2 linked regions of the Caenorhabditis elegans genome follow. The protein of the gene in region 1 purifies or fractionates together with the protein of each later gene. This does not show direct contact. Each region holds a gene or a part of one and is shown on either strand. Other genes may lie near its edges.

The links. Proteins that work in one complex are often made in the same cells at the same time.
Region 2: the proteins of gst-13 (region 1) and srh-111 fractionate together in Caenorhabditis elegans (co-fractionation; one large-scale study listed by BioGRID). This does not show direct contact.

What each region holds. Positions count from the first base shown.
Region 1 is NC_003280.10:9,227,284-9,235,396, forward strand, and holds gst-13 (glutathione transferase), read left to right. Parts: upstream 1-4,173; 5' UTR 4,174-4,257; coding exon 4,258-4,483; intron 4,484-4,544; coding exon 4,545-4,864; intron 4,865-4,911; coding exon 4,912-4,992; 3' UTR 4,993-5,061; downstream 5,062-8,113. Other genes in the region: T26C5.2 (Apple domain-containing protein), read left to right, coding at 5,956-6,013, 6,077-6,195, 6,517-6,646, 7,081-7,893, 7,949-8,079.
Region 2 is NC_003283.11:17,481,446-17,489,765, reverse strand, and holds srh-111 (Serpentine Receptor, class T), read left to right. Parts: upstream 1-4,587; coding exon 4,588-4,948; intron 4,949-5,071; coding exon 5,072-5,721; downstream 5,722-8,320. Other genes in the region: scl-24 (SCP domain-containing protein), read right to left, coding at 2,561-2,672, 2,718-2,917, 2,964-3,098, 3,144-3,335.

The DNA of each region.
Region 1 (8,113 bases):
AATGGGGAGGAAGGCGCCGGCGGTCGGTCGGTCGCGGCACACTTCGACTCCGCCCCGCGCGGAGCCAGGAGTGCTTAAGCGTTCGAAACAACTCCTTGAATCGGAGGATTGAGGGAGAGTCCAGTACCCTCAAGAGATCTCATCTTTTTGCCTGGAGATAGTGATTGAGACAATGAGGACTAGACGAAAAACATTTCATAATTCATACTCGGAAACCGGAGGTCCTCAAAGCCTTGAAGGGTACTGTAGTTTTGAAATAACCTGTATGACTTGAAGCTTGTATACTTTAGAACTATTCACCAAATGAGTGGATTATTTGTTCAGCTTTGGTAAATTATATAGCTACCAGTAAATTTTCGGAGTAAACCAAAGAATATGATAACGCAACTTGGTAGTTTTTTGAAGCGCATGCTGAAATAAAAATGGTCACACAGCGAAAAATAATTTAATTATCTTTCTTGATTTGTGATTTTAAAAGTTTTTACCACGACTGCTCTAATTTGACGACTCATATCTCGACTGTCATGAGTTATATCAAAAAATGTTCTACTATTGATATATAGATAAACATTTTACACGCATTTGGTTTGTTGACAATTTTTTGATAAAACCAAAGAGAACCGAGATATAAGCTTTCAATGTAAAGCAAAGACAATTCAAAAAACGCTGCTAAAATTGTTTATTTTTCAAAATCTTTCAGTACCTGGAAATATTAAAATCGGTACAATACTTGGATTTTTTAACGTTTTAGATGCACATAATTTATTATGTGTGTGACTTCCTTTTTCAATTTTTCTAAATAAAATTCCATGACCAATGCTTCTAGTTTCCAAATGTTCCGGACACTCTTAGCTTAGATATCAAAAATCTCTGCTTATCACTAAATACAGTATGCTCTCAATGCTCATTTGCTCTCTTCTTCTACCCGCATACTTTTTCATTCTCCTTATGCCCTTTGTAGGAATGTCGTCCCTGCTGACCCCCTCTCGCGAGCAATCATCATCCATAAATAGCAGCAACCGCACTGATTATCTTGTTTAGTTCAAGTTGCGCAATTTTTCGCTTCAAGTATTTCGAACATCTATAAAAAGATGCTCGGAGAAGACTGCTTACATAAAAACACATGTTTGTCGCTTTTCGTATCTCCAAATCTAGCCTGTTCTTTATCTCTTGATCTCCCCTACTTCACAGTGAATAAAAACATTTTTCATTCACATTCTTCATGAACCTGATGAAAAGTTGGTCAACTAAAACTCACACAATTGAAGTATTTGCTTACTTTTCGTATTGAATTTAATGGTCACTTTACCAATGCAATGCAGCTGGTTGCCATGTGAATTCAATTGTGACGTGGAACACGTGGAAAACAACTAGAAACTCCGAGAGGACCGGATTTCTGGGTCAGACATTGATGAGTCATACGGAATCACATCATTTGACAGTTTTAACCGTCTGGAGGCTCCCGGTTGGCAAATAGAAATTTCAATTGAACGCATTTCGTTGTGAGCAGCAATGTATGTAGTTTCTTGTTTTTGACGAGAGCTTATCACGTACAAATTCAGACTACGGTAAAATATTTTCGAAGAGGTACGCATCAATTGTATGTTACACAATCTAGTACCAATTTTTCCTGTTTATGTTTCAGGGCTCGTCGAAGTTGTCAGTAGTAGTAGATATACTTGAACCAATTATGATATCAACTTCCCTACTCATAAATCATGTCAATTTGATATTATTATGTGTACTATAGCTCCCTGCAATATACCTCGGTATTTGCCGGTTAATTTCTGCCTAATTTCGAATAAAAACAATGTACAACTTCTCTTCTAGTTGCACCTTTACAGAAATTCTCAAATGATTCATCCCGTCATTTGTCGGTAAGTCTCTGAACATAAGTTCAATGAATCAAGGTAAGTCAACATGAGTCGTTTCTTCTGTCTTTACTGCGCAGAGCATCGTAAACTGATCACCGAAACAGTTTCCAACTGTATGACTTCTCTTTTTGAGCTAGAGATTTTCCGGTTTAGCTTAATTGAATGGAACATTGTTTGATATTGCAATTGTGCCTATTTATGTTCTTTGACAATTTTTGATAGACATCAAAATTTCAACTTTTAATATATGTTTTGAAAATAGAGATTTTCTGTGAATGTGAAATTTCTCAGGAAAATAGCATTAAATTTTTTTTTTACAATTGCTACTGAACATTTGGAACGGAGTAATTTTTGAACCAAAAATCAAAAAGTGTTGTTTCTATAGCCAGTTTTGGAGCCAGTTTTCCTGTTGTAATTTCCTCTCAAACGATGTTTGGTGTATGTTTCAACGTGTTCTAATCCACGTGTACTTTTCCATGCGCGACCTACATTCAAACAATGATTGCTTTTAAAAAACCGGATCGGTGCAAAAAATGCGTAATACGTTGACACGGTGGGAGGAGGTGCACCCAACATTATAATACTTTTCTTGGAGAAAAGAGAAAGAGAGAGAGAGAGAAGGAAATGGGTGAAATGAGCACATGTTTGTCTGTATATTGTCTTCTCAGGAAACATTTGTGCAAGGAATTGCAAGTGAGAGACCCTAAACACCCGGAATTTTCGAAGCCGACCTTATTTGCCTCGTTTTGAGATGAACACAGTTTTCACGGATATTTGACTCCTATCAGTGACGGGAGTATTGCGGGGGATGCCTTGTCTTGGATGAACAACATTTTGAACTTTAACAATTATTTTTTTTTCAAACTGCTGTCCGAATACAAATTAAAAAAAGTGTACTATTTCAGAAAATAATCCTTACCTTCAAAAGTTCTATTAGTTCTGAAATACTGAGAACAAGACTCGATGAAATAAACTTACGACATAAGTATTTCTCATTTAAGAATAAAAAGTGACCACACGCCTACATCGCCTACACCTACATCGCCTATAAAATTTATTGCTTACCTAATTATTGTGGTCCGTATAATATATTTTTACGACAGCCTATGTAGGCCTATGTAGGTATCCACGTTTGAACCTTTATCAAAGCAGTATAATCAACTTTTCGGCATGATCTTACAATCATAATAATTTTTCCTGAATTTCGGGTCTCGCAATATGTAGATATTGATGGTTTATGTTTCTGATTCTAGCAATAACAGTCTACAAGACACCACAATATTTGCGTCGAAACTATAGACAGTTCAACGATCGAGATCCAAACTATGCTAACATCGGATTCCACACCTTTGTTTTATGATTGTTCAACTATTCTTCAACATCTTGAAACTCGAATACTTCCGGATTGTTCCTTTTATTTGATTGGGGAGTGCATCGGCACCGGATTGATATGAGAAGATAACACCCACCCCGATGGAATTTGTGTGATGATTGCCAAGAATGATTACCGAGCTCGTCGTCGAGCCTTAAAAAATAATCTGCCGGAAATGATAATCTGTCGATGCTCTTTGCGAGATGCCATATCATATCGTCCCATGTGTACTCACATTCTCTAATCTTCTCCATCAAGGTCTCACTGGGGGAGGCTCTCAGGCACACTGAACCGGTCAATTTGGTTGTGTTGCCGATGGAAGAGAATCTGATGGTCAGAGTCTGTTTGCGCTCTCTTTTTTTGCATTTCTCTGCGCACTGAGTCGTTGTAAAATGTTTGATGGAAAAAAGAAAAGACAAAGGAATTTGAAAGTTGAGGAAAAAAATTATAAGAAGAGCAAGAGGTAAAAGGGCATAACAGGGATTGACCTGGTTTTTACAAGTTGCACTAAATCTAGAACAACCAACTTGGAAACTTGTCAACGGCTAAAAATTTCAATAGAACTTTAGCAAAAATCGACTAATCGAGCAATGCAATTCTATCGGTGACTGAACTGAGATTATTTTTGAAAAACTAAATTAAAAATCGCATTACAAATTCTAAGAGAATTAAAAAACGAAGCTCTTTAATTTCCAAAAACATTTCAGTTTCGCTTCGAACAGTTATGCATTTTCTAAATCCTTCAGTATGCTTTCCTGGTTTCAAAATAACGATATTTTCACAGAAAATTCTTTGTCTGCAAAGTTATTCATAAAATGACGTTTTATGTACCTGCCTCGTATCAAATTGGTTTTTTGGCCTCAACCATGTGTCTTATTCTCTCAATTTCCGTACACTTTCACCCAGTTCACTATCAATTGTCATCATGTAGAAAACAAATAAATACTCTCTACTGATGTTCTCCAATATGATTATCAGTTTTCTATTGATTGTTTTATTGTATTAACAACCATGGTTCACTATAAGCTTACATATTTCTTGTCTCGTGGACTTGGAGACGTTTCTCGTCAGCTGTTCCATTTGGCAGACGTAGATTTCGAAGACGAGAGGCTTGAAAAGCCTCACTTTTTGGAGAAGAAAGAGACATATCCATTCAAACAAGTCCCAGTGCTCTCTGTTGATGGATTTCAAATTCCCCAATCTATGGCAATTGCTAGGTACTTGGCAAAGAAGTTTGGTATGTAAAGTTTCTATACACTTTAATAAAACAAGCTTATTCCGTAAATTATTTATTTCAGGATTCGCAGGAAAAACAGCTGAAGAGTCAGCAATGGTGGATGCATTTGTCGACCAATTCAAAGACTTTTACTCCGAAATTCGTGACTATTACTACACCATGTTAGGTCTTGGATTGACTGATCTGGACGGTGATGAACAGAAGGATAAGGTCCTGATTCCGGCAAGAGACAAATTTCTGCCACTTCTTACCAGATATCTTGAGAAGAGCAAGTCAGGATTTTTAGTGGACGGAGGCCTTACTTTTGCTGATTTGATTATTCTTGATAACATGACGTCGCTTCTCAATTGGTGGCCAGAATATGCAAATGATTATCCAGTGGTTCGTTATTAAAATAAGTTTTATGAAGATGTATCTGTCAGTTTCAGATTCTTGCTTGGAGGGATAAGGTGATGAACTATCCGAGATTGAAAGAATACATTGAGAAGAGACCAGTCACTATGTACTAATTTTATAGAATTAAAGTTTAATTTTTCATAGATTTTTTAAAAAAAGTTCAAATAAACTATTATTTTAAAAAATGTTCAAATATTTACAATTTAAATTTCTGTTTTTACTTCGACTTTTTAAGAATTCCGTTTTCAAAAAAAAAACAATGATATCACTTAAAAATATATCTCCCGGTTGATAGAAATTTTAAAATAATCGGTCAGGAATTACATATTGGTTGTGAAGTTTTATTGAAAATTTGGAATTATGAACACTTAAACTTGTTCAGTTTTCTTCAAAGCTTCCTCTCGTTGCAATTACAAACAATTTATTTATCAAAAAATATTTTGCTAATTATTCGCATGATTATCGCAAACATACGATGAATCCCTCAGGTGCGAGAAAAGTGAAAAGATATATTTCTTTTCCGAAAAGAAAAGTCTTTTTGATTTAAAATGGAAAGTTGCACTTGTTGATTGATGCATTTTCCCTTCTTCATCGTCTTCTCCTGATCCTTAAGCCTTGTCTCAAAACGCTCCGCCCTCTTTCCCTCGTCCCGGTTTTCGTTTATCAGCTTAACACGAGCTAGTATCGACTAGCCGTCGTTGTACAGACGAATTAGGTCAGAAAATGGAATCTATTGTTCCTGAAAAGAAACGCATTTTGGACGGAATTCATTGGCGTCTAATCGTGTTTCATTTTCATGCTTTTTCTTTTGTTTTTGAGTTAGCTTTGTTTCAAACTAGAATTATTGTTTCAAGTGTTTATTGGATTTTTTGGTCTTGTAGCTAAAGTTCGGTCCGTTGTACTGCTGGTTGCCAATCAAAAAACTAAAAAAAAACATTTTCTCACCCGCTAATCGTTTCAACTCTTGTAAAGACATTCCTATTTTAATCCCACAATTGTTTTCTTATTAAAAACCTTTATTAAACGGATTTCCAAAAAATAAACAAAATTGGAATTTCAGGTGTTGCCTCTCAGAAATGAGGATTTATATTCTACTTGCGGTGTTCATCAGTTCTTGTCTTGCAGACACAAGTGGTTAGTCTACCATTTCTAGATTCATCTCTCGCAAAAAAGCTTGCAAAAAGCATTATTTTTTAGTTCTTCGTCCATGTTTCGAACGATATCCAAACCATCGGCTAGTCAATGTCAGACCATATCATAGTGAATGGAGAATGAAAACAGAGGATATGTGCTTGCTCTTCTGTGCACAATCTGCGGTAAAATATTATTTTTAAAACATTTTTGATATTTAAATGCTCGTTAGAGATTTCAAAACATTTTTTAATCGGAAGTTTATGGTAAATCCACAGAACAGTTGTTCTCATTTTATATTTTTTTGTTAAAAAAATAAATTCAACAGTCGGAAACTTACTGTAGCAGGTAGATAATAAATATTTGATTGAACTCCTAAAATCATTTTTTCTCTGGTATGGTTGATACTTTTCATGTTCTCAATAAGGAAAATGCCAATTTGTTAGAACGCTTTTTTAAAAATACGAAATTCAATTAACAGAAAATATAAAATAATTATGTTTCAGTCTCGATGCCGTTCAGTCGTATACGACACTGTTCAACACATCTGCCACTACTTCTCGGATGAAGGCGTCGATCAGGCAATCCTATCAGCCAAAATGACCTACCTTCGTGTCGTGTCTCAATCTTGTTTGCGTGAGTCTTTTTTGATTTATTTCGGACACATTTCTTCTTTTGTCTCTTTTTCTGGAGAAGAGGTATTCTGTTCGGAGATAACAGGGAAGAGAGGGAATCGAGATATTTTGTAATGATAATTGTGATAAAAGTGAAAATTTTGGAGTGGATAAGTTGGAGGATCGTGCAGATTGTGGTTTGATTTCATCGTTCAGAAGGTTCAAAAACATTTTTCAAGCATGTTACACAGTTTTTTGTAATCTTTCAAAACCTCGGACTATTAGTTGATTAAACTTCAAAGTTAGAATTCTAGAATAATTCAGAAAATAATTTAAAGGAAATTTAAAGAAAATTCCCTTTTTTAGCCCACTTAAAAAAAGAACGAAAGGTGACAAAGCGTTTTAGTTGCTGCGCTCGGCTGGTTACGATGCCAAGTAGTAATTTCATATTTTCAGAAGAAAGCTCCGAAATTGCCTCGGATCCGAAAACTTCACCACCAGATGCTCCACCAACTCTTCTTCCAAATTCCTTTAATAGTATTAATGAAATTCAACAAGATATCCACGAAGAACTCGCAATTCCACAACCACCAACAGAAGAAGAGCAGATTACGTCGACCGAAGCTTCCATTCCAGAAGTTGTTACATTCGAAACTGCTACCCAGGAAGCTATGAATAATGATGAAGATCTAGCTGTTGTTACAACTGAAAAACCATTTGTCCCTCCAACTTCTACCTCAGAAAATGTTAATATTGATGAAGAAGATTTGGATGCTGAATTGAAATCTGTAATGGAACAACCATCACAATTCACAGGATCATTTGCTGATTCTGATGCTCAAATTGATAATAATGGTGTCTATAGAGATAAGACTTCAAGCGAACAAAGATGGATGAATTCCATGGAAAAAATGGATGTGAAGCCTTCTGAAACTAAAAAATCAATCGATGAAAAACTAGAGGACCTCAAGACAGAAAACAAAGATAAATATGAAATGTTGATGGGAACGAGTCAAGAATCCGATCCGGAAGTTGCAGTGGAAACTCAAAAACTTAAGAATAACTTGAGATACGGAGCAAAGGTTATTAAATTCGACGAAGAAGCAGCATTTAGAAAACAATCCGAATTGAGAAGAAAGCCAGTTGGAGCAAAGAGAAGACCTGATCTGAAACCAGTTACAATTTCTTCAACGAGTTATATTCAAAAAGCAAAATCATTCTTGGATGAGGTTAACGAAGAAGAGGAGAATGAAAACATTATTGAAACAGGTAAAAAATTGATTAAAAAATGAATTCAAAACTTCCAATCTAGTTGTTATTTCAGAATGCCAACAAGACGATGTTGATGTGTGGATCGCTTTTGAGAACAGCGCACAAGCTGAAGAATCAGAAAACGTTGATATCGATTCAAATGTTCCAAATAAAAGAGAGTGCGAGAAAATTTGCAAAGAGAAGGTACTTTTTTCATTATAAAAATCACCCAAATAAC
Region 2 (8,320 bases), on another chromosome or scaffold:
TTCAAGATCGAATACGTCAGGACTGATGACTTTGGACAAGCAGACGCGAAGTCAAGGATGATCCAGAAGTCGCCGACTGAGGAGGAGGATATTGTCATCGCTCAGGTGGAATTGGACGTTGAGGAGACGCTGCATTCAGCAATTAGGAAACTTCCAATTCGTGTGACGGATATTCAGGAGGAGACTCGCAAGGATAGCGTTCTCCAAGAAATTCTCAAAGGATTATCAACAGGATGTTGGTCGAAGGAAGGTAGCGAGGAGTAGCTTCAACTGTTCATGAACACGCTGCAATCATTGAAAGGAATGGTTTTTCTCTCTTGGTACCGCTTGTCGTGTTATGTTAAGCTAAATGTTACTTAATTCTAGTGTTTTAATGAGTTTTGCTTTCCAACTTGACATTCTATATTTTTTAACTTCATTATATTAATAAGTGTATTTCAATAAATTCTCTCGTCATTATCGCATTATGATACGGTGATACGTTCTAGGGAATTAAGAAGAGTGCTCAAGTGAGCCATCTTGATAGTAGGAAGGGAACGAGAGGGGGGGGGGGGGGGGGCTCAATACATCTGCATAAGTGATTTCTAGTTGTGTAAAAATTATTTGAAATGAAGAAACCATGCAAGCGCTGCTAAAAACCACACCAGAACCACGTGTTTTTGCATATATAAACTCGCGTGTATGTTTATATATCGTGCGCGAAGGATGGTGTAGTGGATAGAGGCCTCCAACACTGCGAGAACGACGACGGTTCGAGTTCGGCAACTAGTGAAAATGGGCGGAGCAATGGGGTACCCCGTGGATCATGATGGTGAGACTGTCCAGGTATTCGGTAGGGTAAGGAAGGGTTCTAGGGAAAAGGTGAACATGGGGGAATACCCTTTTCCATTTTTCTTCGAAAACCCAAAACCACGCCAGCGCTGACGTAAACCATGCCAGTAATGACGAAAACCACATCATCACTCGAGAAAACCACTATGTTCTACTGCCCGATCTCGAGTGGTTTTTCACCAGGGCTGGTGTGGTTTTTGTCGGGTACTGGTGTGGTTCCAAATCACTGAGTGTGTGCAATTTTGTGTATGGATGCATTATAATATTTTCGTTTTTAGCTGCGGTACAACGATTCGTGATTCTGTACATTTCAAAGTACAAATGGCTAGTGACGGGGTTAGTTTGTTGATAACGTCGCTACAGCAGGCGATGTCAGAAAGTTCACTAAGTTTTCAATGGCATTTAATACATTAACATTTCATTAAACAGCTGCATTTACGCATTCACACTTGATGTTTGTGCTACTGTAAAATTCCTCTGTAAAACTTTGAAATTTTGTTTTTCAAAGTTTGATGTTTTATAACACATGTTCATCGATACTTGTTCGTTCCACACGTTTACACCAAGGGTGTGCGGCAAATCTCAAAATTTGCCGAGCTCGGCAAATTCGGCAAATCTATTTTTCCAATATTTGCCGAGCACGGCAAATTCGGCAAATTTGCCGTGCTTAACAAACTCGGAAAAATTTGATGTTTTTTGGAGCACCAAAACTACTGAATTCTTAACAAATATCTGGTTTCTAAATAAGCTCCGTGTAGTGTGTCTACTGAAACATCAAAATAACTCAATTTTGTGTCACTTTACTAAATTTTTGGCGAAAAAATCAATAGCTTTGGTCAAAATTGCACTGTCAAATTTTTGACGTGTGCGGAAAATTTCAAAATTTGCCGTGCTCGGTAAATTCGGCAAATTTTCCGAGTTCGGCAAACGGCAAATTCGGCAAATTCGGAAAATTTGCCGCACACCCCTGGTTTACACGTGACAGATTTAAAATGAACCCCTAATAAAGTCTGAATACTGTAGGTCCAACCTGTCAAAGCTCATAACCTTTGCCTATGTACTCAGTATTTTCTATTGCTGGGTTTATGGTACGTTTACTTACTTTTTTCCAAATAAAAGCAATTAAACTTTGTATTCAGGTTCTTTGCTTGGAGCGAATTCTTCTCCGACATGGGAAGATATCGCTTTCGTAGTGTACAATTTCATATTTTTTATAATGACCCTAACTTCTGGATTATTTTATTACCATCTTTACCAACTTTTGAAAAAGCTACATTCAGATGTGATTCCAGAAACTCAAATATTATACCGCGTTGTTCCTATTTATAGTCTACAAGTGGTAGAGTCAAAGTTATAACTACAATTTGTTTTTTTTTAACTTTCAGGTCTTCACTTTGATAGCTCTAATGCAATGTATACTTGGCTACTATGAATATAAGGAGATCAAAAATGTTCTCTCTGCAGTTTCAATGTTTCTACCTCATTTCACCCCAATTATCATTTCATTATCCTACACAGCGTCCATGCAGCCAATACGATCAGTGGCTATTTCAATAGTTTATCCAATTTTCAAAGAGTCTTCAGTGTGATGCTGTAAAATTTGTAAATTTTTTAAAATCAAATCAGCGACTCTTTATTTATCGCGAAATTCCCTTGATTTTTGGTTACTTGATGCATTTGTATAGAAATCAGGTTAATGCTCGACCAATTTATTTAACATTTTTAGAACTCATTTACAAAGTTTCATCATTTCATTTGGATCAGTTCCACACGATGTCCCACTTGGGCAGTTAGAGCATGGCTCTCCTTTGTCGAACAGTTGCTCATCAATATTCTCCAAACTGAAATTAAAACTTTACAAACGCAATTTCAGGTTGAAAACTCACGGAGGACTATACTTGCAGATAACAAGACGAGTGTTATAGTTGATCCCCTTTGAATCAATCTTGTCACAACTTTCGTAGATACATCCAATTGACTTAGATTTAGAGTAAAGCATTTGTCTAAGACGATTCTTTGTAGCTTTCTCTTCGGATTTCAGCGCATTGTGTGTATCCTTATTAATACTTCCCATTGCTCCAACGCCCTGAATCCCGACAATTTAAACGTTTTTTTTTGTTATGGAAACTCACATCAATATCGTCATAAGTATTGACATCGTATTGGTAGATGTTATCTCCAAGTTTGATAGGTAGGTTTTTGTTATCAGCAGGTTCACAGTAGTATTTTTCATTCTCGACTTCAGCAACCAATGACTCATTCCAGGACTAAAAATATATAATGAAATTAATTTAAAATTGAAAAAAACTTACCAGAAGTTGCATGTTTGACGATTTGGAGATGCTGTAGCGTTCCCAAAGTCCATGCGAAGCAGCGTTTCTTAGCTTGTTATGAATGAAAACAATATTATCGATTGCTTCTGCGTTCCATTGATGTTGTGGATTGAAGTGACGTTCAGCATGGGCAGCTGCAGTAAGAGCCAGGAGGAGAATGATAAGCTTCATCGTAAGCAGTGATACTTTTCAAAACAAATCAGATCTCTTTTATACTTTTGCTATAGACAGCGAAGTGCAAACCAACAAAAGGAAACCTCAAATATTATAGTCTGCAAACCGTGTGTTTTGATTCTTATGGAGATAATTTCCAAGTTTCCATGCATAGTTCCTACATTCTTGTTTCAATGATGTTTACATAGCTGCTCCCACACACTCAAATCTGTTTTTTTGATGAGACCTTTTATGTGCCCTGAAATCAAAAAATCAAAAACTGTCTGGTCAGATTTGGAAATATCTAGGAAAAACTAACAAAATCGAATAAGAAAAATCGATTTTTTTTCCAAAAGTGAGACAATTGCGGCTTCAAGGTATTTAAAAAAAATTATCCAACTCAGAGTAATGACTTTAAAACGAAAATTCCATAAAACCACGTCATTTAGAAGAAGCCAACACCGTTTGAAAAAAATGGCAAACGACTTTTTCCGGCAAATCGGCGAATTGTCGGAACTGAAAACTTCTGGCAAGTTGGCAACCGGCAAATTGCCGATTTGCCGGAAGAACGGCAATCACCGAAAATTTTTTGGCAAACTGTGGTTTTGCACTTTTTTTGGATATTTCAGAATAACAGGAAAAAATTCCAAAAAGGCACAGTTTTAAGTGTATCCGTCTTATAAAAAATCCCTCTAAAAACTTTAGAGATGCAGATGTTTGGCAAACTGCAAATCGACAACGTGCTGAAAATCAACATTTCCGGCAAATCGGCAAATCGGAAAATTGCCGGAAATGAAAATTTCCTGCTTATCGGCAAACCGGCCTTTTGTGCCGATTTTTCGACAAAAAAATTTGCCAAACGGCAATTGCCCAAACACGTATTTAGTCAAATTGACAAAAAATACGTTGTATCATTTTTGTAGCTCAAAAAGTGGATGATTTTTTTCAATACACGTGCAAAATTTGCTCATATTTAAATGTGTACTAAGTTTTTTGCAAAAAATTTATTAAATTAGTTTTTTTTTTGGATTAAAATATTTCGATGCAATTAATAACGTTGTTTTATGTATATATTTCTGAACGACTCTTTACAAAAGATAACAGAGCCTATAAAAAAACTTGTCAGGAAAGAGAATTTTTGAATGATCAAAAAGATCAGTGTACTAAAGTAGACCTTCTTGAATTTTTTTGCTTTTTTTCAGCCCCTAATAAAATCACCTGCAGTAGTTTGTTCGCAAAAATTTATTAATTTTCCATTAACGTCTAAACTATGTCGACGGCATTGGAGCAGTATTATGCGACAAATTACACAAAATGTAATATATCCTATAACATTCTTGCTACGTGGCAAGCAGTTGCCTATCCAATACACATTATTCAATTTATCTCATTGCCTTTTCAAATCCTAGCGTTCTACATTATTGTCACGAAGACCCCGCCAAGAATGAAACCAATGCAATTACCACTATTTCTAAACCACTTATTTTGTGCTTTGTTCGATATTTGTATGTGCTCACTTTCTACTTTATACTTTTTCCAGCCGATAATGGCGTTTGCGAGTGTTGGTGTGCTCAACTGGTTGGGCGTACCATTCGTTTATCAGGCAGTGCTAGGAGGATCAATGCTTGCTGGTAAGTGTTTTCCTAACAATTCCCGAGTGCGCATTTACCACCATATTTGGCGCATCTTCTTACGGTAGTTACTGAAAGTTACTGAAGAGCTTAGCCTTTTCTAGTAAAATTTCGTCATTGCAGGTGTTGCCGGTTCATACGTCTTCCTATTCGAAAGCCGTAGCAGTTCTTTACCCGAAAATCGATTCCGAATTTATCGCAAAACATCTCGTTTCGCCTATTTCACATATTTTCTCATTCCGTTCATAGCGGCTTACGTAGGCATGCTAATGATTGCCGAGGAATCAGATGCTGGAAAATTACGGGCTCTAGCTATTTACCCTTGCCCTACACGAGAGTTTTTCATATTCCCTGTTTGTGTATTCGAGGGCACGACGAGCCACATTTTTCTCGTTTATGCCTTGGTTATGTCACATACATCTGGAAACATTATATTTCATGTCGCATGTCTCGTATACTACCTTTATATTGCGCCACCACGCACACTATCTCAAAATACTCGAAGAGATCAGAAAATATTCTTAGTCTGCGTGACGGCACAGACTTCGGTACCACTTTTGGTTATAATCGCTCCGGCCATGATCGTTTTGTTAGCATCGTGGGCTGGATATTATCGTCAAGAATGGATGAGTTTGGCTGCAATTTGTGTTGCAACTCACGGGCTCGCCGAGAGCATTGCGATCATGATGGTGCACAAACCCTATCGAGCAGCGATTAGGAAAATGCTCCGAAAAGAAAATACAATCGTTATGCACAGAAGTGTAGAATTATAATGTTGAAATAATAATTTGTAGATCAAGCTCTATTATAATAGTATTTTCCTAAATAAAATTTAATATCTTAAAGTTTAACGATTTATTAAAAATGATGTTTTATCAATTAAAGACTAAAAAGACCAGGTGCTAAGACTTACAAATATAACTTTCAAAAACCAGAAAAATTGGTTGATAGTTTTGAGAATTTTGCAACGAAAAATGGAAAAAAAAAGTGGCGGGAAGCGAATGAATTTGGATTTCGACTGATTTCACGAGGAGAGACAGGTTTATTTTAACGTATTGTCCAAATAAATAATTTTTTAGGCTTAAGATTTTTATTTTATTATTATTAAGATTTTTATTATGTTTATACTTAGGCCTTGGCTCAGGCTTAGGCTTTGAATTTCGCTTAGGCATAGGCTTAGGCAGTTAATTTCAGGCTTAGGCTTAAACAGTTAATCAAACAGTTGGTTAAATGAAAAACTAAACAATTAAAAAAAATCAAATTTCCGCTTGCAAAAACGCTTGCAAAAATGATATTATAAACCTTGAGCATTGCCTACACTTTTCAGTAAGCTCTCTATTCTCTTTACTCTTTCTGTGAATAATCACTCGTGATGGTTGTTCGGAATTAGAATAACTTTTTCCGAAAGAAAACTGCGACGGTTGTTAACTTTGAAGACTCATTCTGAAAACAAATTCACACAAACGCAGTAATTATTAATCGATGTGACATAGTTGTTTTAGCTATCGATATGTTCATTGTAAAAACAGTTTTCCAAAGAAGCCAGGCACCTCATGAACTGGTCATCAAGAACTCAGACGTTTCGGTGAATTGATATTACTGAAAGTCATCTTGCAGTGAAGGAGAAAAATAAGAATCTGACACATTTGTTATTAATATTTGAGAACATGCTTTCATTCACTCGAATGTGAGAACAATGTTCTCGGAAAACTTCCTTCCATTCGCTTGAAGGAGTAATGTAATTGGCTGTTCATAATACAGGGTGGTCCATAATTATGGTGACCACTTCTTGCGCCTATAAAATTTGATAGAACTTTCTAAACATAGTTAAACCACACAGGTTTTATTCACAATTTTCTAGCAAACAAAAAATGATATTAAACTTTGAAAATATCTGCTTGTGCGACTGAGCAGAACCCCTGAAACAAAGAAAAAAATTTGTCGTTGGCACGCTACTTGCCTATATTTTGCTTTCTCAGGTCCTTTCTAGCTTCTCCTGCAGATAAGAGATGTTTTATGACACATTTCAAGATGTTTTAAATCGGAGAATTCGTTTTATAGTACATTTTATATAGTTGCAAATCTCACGCCTCTGTAGTGGACGGTTAAAGTAAGTTAAAGTATGAACGTTGAAATGTCAGACGTTCGACTCGTCATGGCACTCATGAGAAAAACATTTGTTTTGAATATAATTTGACCCTATTCTACTAATATTTTTCTCAATTACTGTAAAAAATTGTGACATTATCGTACCAGGTAACAGAGATATGGCCAAATCTGTGTTCATTTTTCAGATTTTTTAAAAATATAGTGAAAAAAGGGCTGTGGATAATTCCAAACATTCATTTGGCAGAAGCTGGAAATGAATGTAACACACACCGCAGCTGTTGAATCTTAAAGAAATATATTTTTTCTTCTAAAATAGTAGACTAACTGTGAAATGAACCCGTTTCAAAACTCCCACGATCAAAAATTTGCTGCGTGCCAAAAGGTCGTCTGCATGAAAAGATGCGTTACTTTGACGGCGCTACTACAACTCCGTTGTTTGACAAATGAAAAAGTTTTTTATGTTAAATAGGAGGAAAATATTTTTTCTATTGCTTCAATACAAGAATGTTGAATTTTAACGTTTAAGTTGCGTAAAAACAAGCCGCGACTGAGCGCGACACTGGTCACCATAATTATGGACCACCCTGTATAATAGTATGTTATGTGGTTTTTTTTTCTCTTTTTCTCCATGGGAGTAACAAACAAAAGCCAGAAATGAACGAGACAGAGGAAAGAAAAATTTTCTCTTGTGTTTCCCAGAACAAATTTTAATTTTTTTTCGCTGTTTTCACGATATATTTCGTTGTTCTACAACTCGGAGAACGCCTTTCCGATTTTTCTTTCTCAAACTTCATTTAAGACATTTCGGCCCATTTTTAAATGCCAAAATTTTTAAGGTGCAATTTTCCAGATTATGTCCACTTCCTCATATTTTGCTTCACCAGAATTTTTGGCCCTGGCAACCCATCTTGTCACTTGCTTCGAAATCCCAACATTCATCTATGGAGCCTATTGTATTCAGTTCAAGACACCGGAAAAGATGAAATCAGTGAAATGGCTCATGTGAAACATTCACTTTTGGAGCACCGTATCTGATCTCACAATTTGCTTAATAGGTGTGCCATATCTACACTTGCCATGTATTGCTGTGCATGTGCTCGGGTTTTTCGATGCTCCTGGTGAATTGCTATATGTCCTGGTGACATTTTTAGGAGGTAAGTAGGTTTCATATAAAAAATTCAATTTCAAACTATAAAGGTGTTTGATAATACAATTTCCAGCCCTTGGAGTTTCGATTATCATAATTTACGAAAACCGTTTCTA